Linked DNA regions of Rattus norvegicus. The protein of the gene in region 3 interacts with the protein of the main gene of each other region in a pairwise test. Links are inferred from orthologs where the notes say so. Each region holds a gene or a part of one and is shown on either strand. Other genes may lie near its edges. The genes, in order: Zmynd11, Gem and Pdlim7.

Region 1 (3,667 bases), about 56 Mb from region 3:
ATGAACACCTATTCTGGCAGTTGGGTCATTACTGATAATTTGTGATCTGGTATCCTAGCTCTTGGCCTTTCATATTTTACCTCAGAACAACTTGGATTCTCTATTCATTGTTTGTTTCTTGCTATGCAGTTCTGACTGGCATGGAACTCACTTTAGATCAGGTTGATTTTGAATTTGTGCTAATTCTTGTGCTTCCACCTCCTAAGTGCTTGGACTGCAAGTGTGCTGCACCATGCACCATCACCATGTCTGGCTATTGCTTGTTTTTTTTTATACATTGGTTTCATATGTATATAAAACCGAATTCTCTAAAGCTATGATCATAAAAACCTGAAATACCAAACAATTATGACCTATAAATTCCATTGTGCACTGCTTGATTTCACACAGTGTAATGCTGAAGTCTGGTGTGGTTTAGAATAAACATTAAATGCCTTTATTTATCTATTGATTGATTGATTGACATTGGAAAGAGGTAAACTTCTCCTAGCTTTTTAAGTGCCTTTTAAAGTGATTTGGATTTTAGATTATTCTTTATAGAGGTAACCAAGTGAATGCTTGCTTTTATTAGGTAGAAGTGCAACTTGAAAGGTAGAAAATGGAAAGCCACAACACCACATTTCACTTAAGAATGACCAGCGTCAGGCAGTGCTGTGACTGTGGCTCCTGTGTTGGAAATTCCCTCGGTAATCCATGTTTTCTGCCTTATGTTTTTATATATTGCTACAGCTAAAGAAGTAAACAGGTCATGGCACGTTTAACAAAAAGACGACAGGCGGACACAAAAGCTATCCAGCATCTTTGGGCAGCCATTGAAATTATCAGGAATCAGAAGCAGATTGCCAACATTGATCGTATTACAAAGTAAGTAAATTTAAACAAAAGCACCACTGTAAAGTCCCCAAATGCCTTATCTTCTGTGCAGTTCATACAAGGAACTAAAGTGACGGTTGCCTTGCAGAAGACTACAGAACAGGAACAATAGCAGAAACACATATAGACAATTTGTATTTAGAAGCCTTGTAAATGAATGTTAGCTAAGTAAAGATCAGTATAGTCTGCTTATAGTAGATTTTCAATTATACATTTTTTTGCCCTAAGAAAATTTTATTTAAAAGGATTATTAAGACATTTGCTTTATTGTAGTGAAGCTGTCTAAACAAAAGCTTTTGTTCATGGCTTATCTCAATGGAGATGAACAGGCTTCATATAGTAAATAATATTTTGAGTACTTTATAACTAGAATAAATGAGATTGAACACACATTCAGTTAAAAAAGAAAACTCCCCTTTCCTTTTCTCCTTAGTTTCAGTGCTATTTGTCTTAGTAGACAAAGATTCAGTATAGCAAAACATCTTTTTGCTTATTTTGTATTATGAAGGCAGTTAGGAGTTTGATTCTCTTTTAATTCTCTGAATGCTCTTTTAAAAGTAAAGCTGATGTAACATTTTAACAGCTTATGTGATTTTTTTTTGTTAATTTGAATAGAATCTTTTAATTCTCATCCTGCCTTATATTTGTTAGATGGTATCTAAAAATTAAAAGTAAGAGATTTATAATAGCTGACTTACACCGTGCTTTGGAACTGTTATTAATAGGTAATGGAGTTGAACCCCATGCATTCTTAACATTGTCCCCATATTTGAAGATGAAGAGGCTTCCTGAAGTCAACTGCAGCCCTACCTCCTTTGGGCTAAAGAAAGAAAACGATGCCCCCAAATGTGGAAAAGATGACTAAATAAATAGTACATTGCTTTAATTATTACTTAATACATATTTTATTTTTAAAAAGCAAGCACTTTGAGAGCTGGTAACTAAGTACAGAATAGCGGGTGATACTAATACAGATAGTTTTCAAAAACCGCCGGCTGGGGATGTAACATGGATCAGTGGTAAACGCATATTTCACAGGTGAGACCCTAGGCTCAATTCCCTTCCCTGGGTTAAAAATAAATCGCAAACAATAAAGATACTAAGTATGTCCTTGAGATTTGTAAAAGCCATAGCTGAAATTTTTATAGCAGAACATTGAAATTAAAAAATAAGATCCTGTAATTTGTATCAAAAATTTAAGGCATTCTTAAGCGTGCACATTTGAACAGTTTCAGTTGCTCACATGGTTACCTCTCTTTTCCTTTGTGGTGTTTCTCGGGCATCTCAGGGCACCTACTAAGCACTCCAGGAGTCTCATCAGGAGTGCTGCTGTTAGGCTGGGTGACCTGCTGGTGTAGGAGGGAAAGGGCTAACGCTTTTAGTAATCGTGCATGCATCTGCTGGCTACTTAACACATACGAGTGCATGTTTGGCATAGGTGAAACTAGTGAACACCACAGAGACAGTCATTGGGACCATACATATCTCCTTTGAATCATGGATCATAATGAGATTTGACTTTTCCTCTTTTTTCATCAGTATAACTTCGAATGGTAACCCAAGCCATATTTACTTTTTGCTTAAGCTCTATAATTCTTAAATACAGATAAATTTGTTGACCAGCAGGTGGTCATGAATTATAAGTCTCCTCTTAAAAATCCATGAAGCAGAGGACTGCCTAGGAAATGCCCCACACAGTGCCTTGCCTCTTGGCTGATGCCACTTCCCTGGATGTCCCACTGCGTGAGGCTGGCTAGGAAGCAGCACTGGTGGTGGCAGCAAGTAGGTCTGCTCTGCGATCTGGGATTCCTGCTCTGCACTGTTAGAAGGTCAGGAATCAAGATGCTCCTCTTCCTTCATGTCAGAACACAAGGTATCTTTTAAATTTAAAATTACCTTACTTTACCCAAGCCCCCCAGGCAAGTTCCTGTTAAGACCTTGTTTGCTATTTCTGTGACTGGTGAGCAGCCCATTGTTAAAAATTAAGTAAAAGACATGCATTAAGAGTTCTGGCCTTTGACATTACTGGTGTATAGCCTGGTATTTCCTTAAGTATCTTGTCTAGTCTATGTAATGCTGTGGTTCTGCCTGTATCTTGTTTTCGTTATTTTAATCTATAAATTCCACAGCCATCTTCATTCTGATTCTGTCACTGTGCTCTGATGGCTCAAGTGTGACCCCACACTTGAATTCTTTGAATTTCATGGGACTGTGGCTGTGGGCAGGCTGTATAGATGGACTGTGCTCTACTGTAGGGACACATGTTAATGAAGACATTTCTACTTCTGAGATATTTACAGCCATTCATGCTAGATCTGAGTAGTAGTTTGTTTCATCTCTGTGCTTCTAGCTAGAGTGTTTTCCTGGGGATAAGCTTCTCTGTACCTGCCATGTGGTTGCATGCATAGTTCACAGCAGAAAAGGATGTTCCCGTTACCATGTTTAAAAATGGCATTCTTACTTGATGACTGCGCCCTTCTAAGTACCATTGGAATTCACACACCAACTATGTTTGTCATGCTTCCATCCATTTCATGTACCATATACTTTTACACATAAGTGCACACGTGCTATGGAATTCACACATCAACTATGTTTGTCATGCTTCCATCCACTTCATGTATCATGTACTTTTACACATACGTGCACACGTGCTATGGAATTCACACACCAACTATGTTTGACATGCTTCCATCCATTTCATGTATCATGTACTTCTGTGCACACATGCACACACACTATTGCTTATTTTTTATTTAGTATGCTGGATTTTGTTTTGCTGCACTGTATCTGT
Region 2 (3,749 bases), on a different chromosome or scaffold from region 3:
TTATGCATAGTCACAGGAAAATTATCTGTGGTGATGAACTCTCCAAAACTGGTCCAGGGCAGAGTCAGCCTTTCTGGAACCTCCCAGACCTGACCTTCAGAAAGCCTCTTGATAACTTGGGTCACTGTGTACACATATTCCTCTGTGTGTGTGTGTGTGTGTGTGTGTGTGTGTGTGTGTGTGCGCGCGCGCGCGCGCGCGCGCGCTGGGCTCTGTGCCAGTAGGTAGGTTTCTGTCTCCCATCTCAGTACTGAGAAGGCATGCGTTTCTCCCCTAATTCTGAAGATAACGTTTTGTTTTAATTTGTTGGTTTTTTGAGACAGAATCACATAGCCCAGGCTAGCCTCAAACCTCTCTATGTAGCTGAAGATGACCTTGACTTCCTAGTCCTTCTGCTTCTTCCTTCACGGTGCTGGGATTACAAATGTGTACCATTATGCCTGGCTCCCAATTCTGCAGGGAAACGACCCACTCCCTCTTGCTCTTCCTGCTTACAAGACAGAACAGCACCGGGAACTGGGCCACCTACCTCCCAAGACCTCACAGTCGCTGTCCATGCTGTCATGTACACCTGCAAAGATGTTGGCCAGGGTGGACTTGCCCACTCCTTGCTCCCCAATAAGCACCACTCGGTAGTAGGTGTTTCCTGACTCGGAAGAGATAACCGAGTCTGTGGACTCGGAGGACCAGCTCCGCCGGCAGTGGTCATCGGGAGCAGTGGAGTGGTGGTTGTGGGGGTTGCAGGGGTGGGGATCCTTCTGGACCATCAGATGCCTGCCATCAGCAGGGATGCTCCAGCGTTGCTGTGGCTGCATGCCCACAGTGCCTTGGCGCATGGTGACGTTATTCAGAGTCATTGTGGGATCCTGGGAATCAGAGCAGTAAAGATGGCGACATTGTTAAGAATGAGCCAGGCCCAGGGAGTCTCAATACTGTCATCAGGGGTTCTTCACTGGATAGGTATGAATTCTTAACGTAAGGAACAACCATGAAACTCTTCCTAAGCCTGGCAAGCAAAGTCTTCAACAACAACAACAGCGCGAGTGCGCACACACACACACACACACACACACACACACACGGTGACTAGCTTCTCACTCAGGCTGTCATTTGTAGTACCAGTAACACCATCCATTGCTCAAAAGCTTCCTCCATCCTTGAAGGAAAATCCCACTGGAAGTTGGCACAGAGGAATCTGGAAGGAACCCATTGCCTCCAGAAATGGCTTTACCATCAGCAACAAGTCAGTACTGCTAGGGACCAGCTGGCCAGGTTAGCTGTTCTTGTCTAAACAGGGCTCTTCACTGCCCAGTGTCCTGCAGTCTTTTGTGCCTCAGTGGGAAACACGTGGCAATGACATCACTCCCCTGGCTGGACTGGACAGGCGCTTTGGGGGAACTTCCATGTTTAGTAAAGTTGCCCTGATGTTCTCCAGCTGCCTGAAGAGACCGTTATTTGGGGAGTGGGACAGTTTGAGGTTTATGCCTCAGCTCTGCTCTCTCACCCACAGATACTGTTTAGCATAACCAGCCCTGAGCCTGGTTCTTCTGACAGGGGAAGGACCTGCTCACGTTCAGATACATCAAACTTGTACAAAAAGTGCTTCATTCTTAAGGAATCTTGTCCAGTCCAAGATTTAATTAGCTCAGAATTCCACCTTTTTGAAGTAAATCAGAAGGTCAGAGATTCAGGGAAAAGCCACTCAACTTCCTACAACTTTCTCCTTGCAAGACCGCCTCCCCTGCTGACAGGCAGTCCGTTTTGCCAAGACTGCCCGAGATAACACAGCAGCATCCACTCCATGGTTAACTCAACAAGCTCCCCGCGCGTGAGTGCAGGGATAGCACTCCGCTCACACATGACACCTATACCACTAGACAGAACAAGCCGGTTTCTTTTTAAATCTTAAAAACAATCCCTGGGTTGACAGAGTTGTGTTGAGACCTTGAAGTCTGCCGCCTGGCCACCTAATCTGTAAGGTGACACTCCTCCGGAATTGAATTAAGGAACCCCCATCAGAAGCGCATCCTTTGCACCTGAACTTCTTTCTCCTATGGGAGAACCCCTGGCACAGACTTCATGGTCTAGGGTCTCCCTTCCCAACTTAAAAAGTTCAGTGACCAGGAACGCCCCTTCCCGCGGAGGGTCCCACTGGGACTGCCCCTCATCCATGTCCCCTTACTTGGCTGTACTGGGCGCTGGGTGGGCGTTTGCCGTCGGTCCGGACAATGCCTGCTGCCTGCTGCAATGCTTGCCGCCTGCCGATGCGGGTTCCGCAGTCTAAGGCTGTGTGATGTCCGCTGGCAGTGCCGCCTCCTGAAGCCTCCGCGGCCCGCCGCCGTTTATAGCGCGCCCGGCAGCCCCGCGACGGGGCTTTTCCGTGACGTCAGCGCTCCCGCCGGGAGGGGGCGGCTCTGCAGCAAACTCGGAGTTGCAGCCACTTGGCTAAATCATTTACTCGTAGTCATGTGACTCCCTTAGCCCCTTGAGGAGAGTGTGAGGGAAAAAAAGACAGTTCAAACGTTGGCCTCCTTGATTTTGTTTTATTTTCTTTTTATCAGGTGGACACTGGAAAAATACACTTAGTGCATCTTAATCGCCCTTCCCAGCAGAGCACTTGTGAGCTGTCTGAATAAAGGATGGGGAAAGAAGCAGGCCTGAGTCGCGAGTCCAGCTGTGCCAAGAAAACAGACCCATCAGAGTGAGCGGGACTCCGGCCTCCAGGATGGGGCTACAGCCACCTGAGTGGACAGGCCACCTTTACAGCATGCTCTGAAAAGCAACCAGGCCCTTCCTGCTTCCTGTCACCTTCTCTCTGGATTGGGGACACACAGTTTCCCTTTTCCTGCAGAGATCCAAAGAGAACGGGCCAGAGAAAAGAGTGGGGAAGACCTTGAAAAAGGGCAGTTTGGCTCCAAGCAGCTTGCGCTAAACACTGCTGTCCTCCTGGTCTGGCCACAATGCCAATCAGAAATTTAATCACACCCCGATCGGTGCATCTCAGAACCGAGCTGCTTAGCATGGCTGGATGTGGCCTGGAGCCAGGGCTTCCCAGCCATGGGGAGAAGCAGGCTCAATTCCCTCAGAGAGTCCTATTGCTACAACCCTTTGCAAAGACTTGCAAAGACCTGTGGTTCTGGTGGGCCCAGAGAACCTTGCTCCTTACTACAGTTGTGGACTGAGAACAAGTCTCGCTACAAGGGAACCTGCCTAAGGTCAGGGTGGAGGCAGAGGCAACATTCAGAGCCTAGTTTAAGTACCTTTTAAACTGCACTGCTAAGTGGCCTCTTCCCCAGGACATGAGCGTCCCCAGGACATGGGCATTTCCCACATGCTGTGTTTAGACTCCATGCTAGCTTTTCCAACAAATCCATCTGCTTCTCCAGCCAGCGTCTGCTGTGGGTTGGCCGGTGACTCCTCAAGAAACAGCCAGCACCACTGTCTGTTGGAGTGGCTGGGCTGCTCTGTGGTTACAATGGTGTCCCAGTTCTCCCGAAGGCATCTATGCGATCTGGGAATTATCCAAGTGACCAGCTTCTGAGGCCTGTCAGGAACCAAGTTGGCAAAGGTAGAATCCACCGAATAAGAAAGATTTAGAGCGCCTTAGTCTCAAAGGTGGAGTCCCAGAGGGATGACGGCCACTCAGGAAGGAGACAGCCAAACTGAAAGTATATTCTTGGAACCATAATGCTTGGATACTGCTCCTCACCGGAAACGTTTCTCCTCATTGTTAACTGGATGGGAAGGGA
Region 3 (3,649 bases):
GCCCCTCAGGGAAAAGTATGTCCTGGAGCTACAGAGCCCACGCTATACACGTCTCCGGGACTGGCACCACCAGCGCTCTGCCCACGTGCTCAACGTGCAGTCCTAGCCTGGCCCTGCTCAGCCTGCTGCCCTCTGCTTTCTTCTCTCTTACTCCCTCCCAGGGCACCCCACGGGTGCCTCCAGCTCTCACCTACTGCTTTCACAGCCCTGGCCTGAACCTCCTGCTGGCCTGGTCCCGGCAGCCCGTCTGGCACAGGGCCTGGCTTCGTCTGACACTGCCTTCCTTCTTGGCCCTGTGGTACTGCTGTCTGCCAGGTCTGCGCTGCCTTGAGCGTGGGAATAAACATTCTCAGTCCTGCTTCCTTTGCCTCTGTCTCCCATCTTTTGGGTCTGGTTATGTTTTGGGTTTGGGATGCTAAATGGTTTAGACTTGGTATGGGTCCTGCAGCCTGCTTCTTGGTGGGAGGGAGTACCTAACCAAGATGCAGGGTGGCTCTGCCTTACCCATGGTTCTCCTGGATAAGGAGACCCAAGGCTTGCCCTAGGAGAAGGAGCACACTCTGCTTCCACACTCTACACAGCAGCCCAGATAGCTGTACCCTTCATAGGGGGGAGCACCCCTTCCTACCTCTAGCCCAGAGGGACCTAGAATACATCCCAGCAGTTCTTGATGCATTTAAGCATCACCCAAGGGGGCAGCACAGCTGAACTTAGGGGGTGGGACCATGCCCAAAGCCTCAGCCAGGCAGGGCCTTGAATGGCAGATCTTACAGCCAGGTGCCCAGGACAGAAGCCCCAGCCCCAGCCTCAACCATACCCCAGGAATCCTGGCCTGGTAAGACACTGGGCTTGGGGCTGAAGAAGGGTGGGTAGCCTCCATGGACATAGGGGTGGTGGGCTTTTAAGGCTACCCTGGGTTCTACCCTCTGCCCTTTGGGCTTCCTGAGTACCCCTCTGGATCTACTTTCTTTGGCTGTCAGGCCCCACCACCCCCAGCCCCACCAGCCGCCCACCCTGGGCCGTAGATCCTGCATTTGCTGAGCGCTATGCCCCAGACAAAACCAGCACAGTGCTGACCCGACACAGCCAGCCAGCCACACCTACGCCTCTGCAGAACCGCACCTCCATAGTTCAGGCTGCAGCTGGAGGGGGCACAGGAGGAGGCAGCAACAATGGCAAGACGCCTGTATGCCACCAGTGCCACAAGATCATCCGGTGAGTATTCCTTTCTAATGCTGATCTTTCCTGCCCTGTAACCTGACCCTGTCGTGTCTCATGTACCTATCCTACCTTTGCTGCTGCTCTAAGAGAGTTAAGGATTTGGTCTGGATCCTCAGATCTTTTTAAATTTTCGTGGTTTTGTATGTGGGTGTTTCAGTTGGATGTGTGTCTGTGCACCACTTGCATGCCTGGTGCCCACAGACACTGAGCAGGGGGTTGGATTCCCCTGGAATCAGATGGCATTTAGATGGCTGTGAGCCTTCGTGTGGGTGCTGGGAATCAAACCTGAGTCCTGCAGAAGAGCAGCCAGTGCTCTCAGCTGCTGAACCATCTCTGCAGCCCCCAATCCTCAGGTTCTTAATCTTGCACTTCCCACCACGCTCACACCCGGCTGTAGCAGGGGAAGCATGAAGGTGCTAGCAGCACCCTGAAGCAGTGTCTGTCGCTTCGCCGGCTCTCTGAATAAAGAAGGGCCTCCCTCTCTGCTGCTTCCTCCTCGGGCTTGCTCTCTGCCGAGCCTCTGCTCTCAGAACCGATAGGCCACACGTACCTCCCTCTGTACACTGCTTACTGGAACCCAGCCAAGTCACACAGCCCCCTCAGAGTCAGATTCCAGAGCCTTCCTAGTTGTTGGTCCTGTCCCTGGCCTGCTTGTTCTGCCCTCAGCTCTCAGGCAGAGAGGATTTGTAAAGCATCCCCTCCTTCTGACACCCCTGTTTAATCTCAGGCCTGCAGATGTCTGCTTAGGCCAAATGGAACAGGCAGTCAGGACTGGGCATTCATCAGGGTCTCATCATTTCTTCATCTTCACACTGGGCAGTAGTCCCCCAGGGGTGTCTTGGTAGACTCAAGCCATCAGCTTCCACCCAAACCAAGGTGCCTCTGTCATCAAGAGCGAGTATACGTTTGCCCCATCTTGCTTACATGAACAAGCAGCTCCTGTGAGAACAAGGGTCTTCTGAAGGGAGGAAACACCGCTCCTGTCTTCCTCCTGGAGCCCCTACCTCACTTGCATGCATTCCCTCTCCCTGCAGCGGCCGATACCTGGTAGCACTGGGCCACGCGTACCATCCTGAGGAATTTGTGTGCAGCCAGTGTGGGAAGGTCCTGGAAGAGGGTGGCTTCTTCGAGGAGAAGGGAGCTATCTTTTGCCCCTCCTGCTATGATGTGCGCTATGCACCCAGCTGTGCCAAATGCAAGAAGAAGATCACTGGAGTGAGTGGGGCTGGCAGGTGGGCAGGAGATGCAGGTGGGCAGGAGATGCAGGTGGGCAAGAGGTACAGGTGGGCAGGAGATGCAGGTGGGCAAGAGGGTGGAAGAGAGAGGTGAGCAGGTGGCAGGAGATGCAGGTGGGCAGGAGATGCAGGTGGGCAGGAGATGCAGGTGGGCAGGAGATGCAGGTGGGCAGGAGATGCAGGTGGGCAGAGGGGCAGAGGGCAAGGGAGAAAGTGAAATGTTAGCAGTGTTGAGCACTGTTGAGCAGCTGTTAGATGTGCAGTTCTCAGCAGGAATCCCCAGACTCCTAAACAGCCTAACAGCAGAGAGTGTAGCTCAGTGGTAGAGCACCTGTGTCACACGCACAAGGCCCTAGTTCTGTTTCTGGCAGCCTCATCAGGCACAGTGGCGTTGACTTCTAATCCCAGCACTCAGAAAGCAGAGGCAAGAGGATCATGACCGACAGCCCAGCCTAGGCTACGTAGTGAGACTGCCTAAAAAAAGCGGAAACATTCTATCAATGGCTTCACTTTATATCAGGCAGGATACTTTTCTTTTTTTTCAGTTCTTCTAGATGGGGTTTCTCTGTGTAGCCCTGGCTGTCCTGAAACTCGCTCTGTAGACCAGGCTGGCCTTGAACTCACAGAGATCCTCCTGCCTCTGCCCTCTAAGTCCCGGGATTAAAGGTGTACACCATTCCCGCCCCGCCAGCCAGGATATCTTAAAAGATCAGCTACTTGTTTATATTTTTATTTATTTTACCTGTATCAACTGTTTGGCCTGCACATGTGTATGTGCACCACATTCACACGACTGGTACTCTCAGAGGTCACAGGACACTGTCCTCTGGAATCACAGATGGCTGTGACTTACCGCGCGAGTGCTAGAAATGAAGCTCAGGTCCTCTTAACAACTGAGCCGCCATCTTCCCAGCCTAAAATACCAAACTCTTATTCAAAAAAAAAGCTTAAGCACAGGAAAGGAGCCAGCTTCAGGGACTGGAGGTGCTGACTCCAGATGCCTCTGAGCCTTGGCTCCGTGATCTCCTGAGTTTGCCTGTTTTTACCTTTTGTCGGTTTGGCCTTCCTTCAGTCACAGCATGCTTTCCTCTGGAAACCGGCAAGAGCAGTGCCACTCTGCCTGTGAGGTTCCATTTCCCCCGGTTAGCTCCATAGGAGAGAAAACACCTCAGTCCCACTCGACACCCAGCCGT

The links.
Region 1: the proteins of Pdlim7 (region 3) and Zmynd11 interact in a two-hybrid assay, tested with the Homo sapiens proteins (2 studies listed by BioGRID). The link is inferred for Rattus norvegicus from reciprocal best matches to the Homo sapiens genes PDLIM7 and ZMYND11.
Region 2: the proteins of Pdlim7 (region 3) and Gem interact in binary tests that used the Homo sapiens proteins (3 or more experiments, as listed by UniProt). The two-hybrid records come from large-scale screens. The link is inferred for Rattus norvegicus from reciprocal best matches to the Homo sapiens genes PDLIM7 and GEM.

The regions. Positions count from the first base shown.
Region 1 is NC_086035.1:65,268,992-65,272,658, forward strand, and holds the start of Zmynd11 (zinc finger MYND domain-containing protein 11), read left to right. Parts: upstream 1-729; 5' UTR 730-748; coding exon 749-864; intron 865-3,667. UniProt on the Homo sapiens protein: Chromatin reader that specifically recognizes and binds histone H3.3 trimethylated at 'Lys-36' (H3.3K36me3) and regulates RNA polymerase II elongation. Does not bind other histone H3 subtypes (H3.1 or H3.2).
Region 2 is NC_086023.1:30,010,211-30,013,959, reverse strand, and holds the start of Gem (GTP-binding protein GEM), read right to left. Parts: upstream 2,320-3,749; 5' UTR 2,183-2,319; intron 867-2,182; 5' UTR 858-866; coding exon 530-857; intron 1-529. UniProt on the Homo sapiens protein: Could be a regulatory protein, possibly participating in receptor-mediated signal transduction at the plasma membrane. Has guanine nucleotide-binding activity but undetectable intrinsic GTPase activity.
Region 3 is NC_086035.1:9,136,195-9,139,843, forward strand, and holds part of Pdlim7 (PDZ and LIM domain protein 7), read left to right. Parts: intron 1-9; coding exon of another isoform or gene 10-106; exon of another isoform or gene 107-362; intron 363-773; coding exon 774-835; intron 836-980; coding exon 981-1,215; intron 1,216-2,255; coding exon 2,256-2,436; coding exon of another isoform or gene 2,437-2,498; intron 2,499-2,564; coding exon of another isoform or gene 2,565-2,681; exon of another isoform or gene 2,682-3,649. UniProt on the Homo sapiens protein: May function as a scaffold on which the coordinated assembly of proteins can occur. May play a role as an adapter that, via its PDZ domain, localizes LIM-binding proteins to actin filaments of both skeletal muscle and nonmuscle tissues.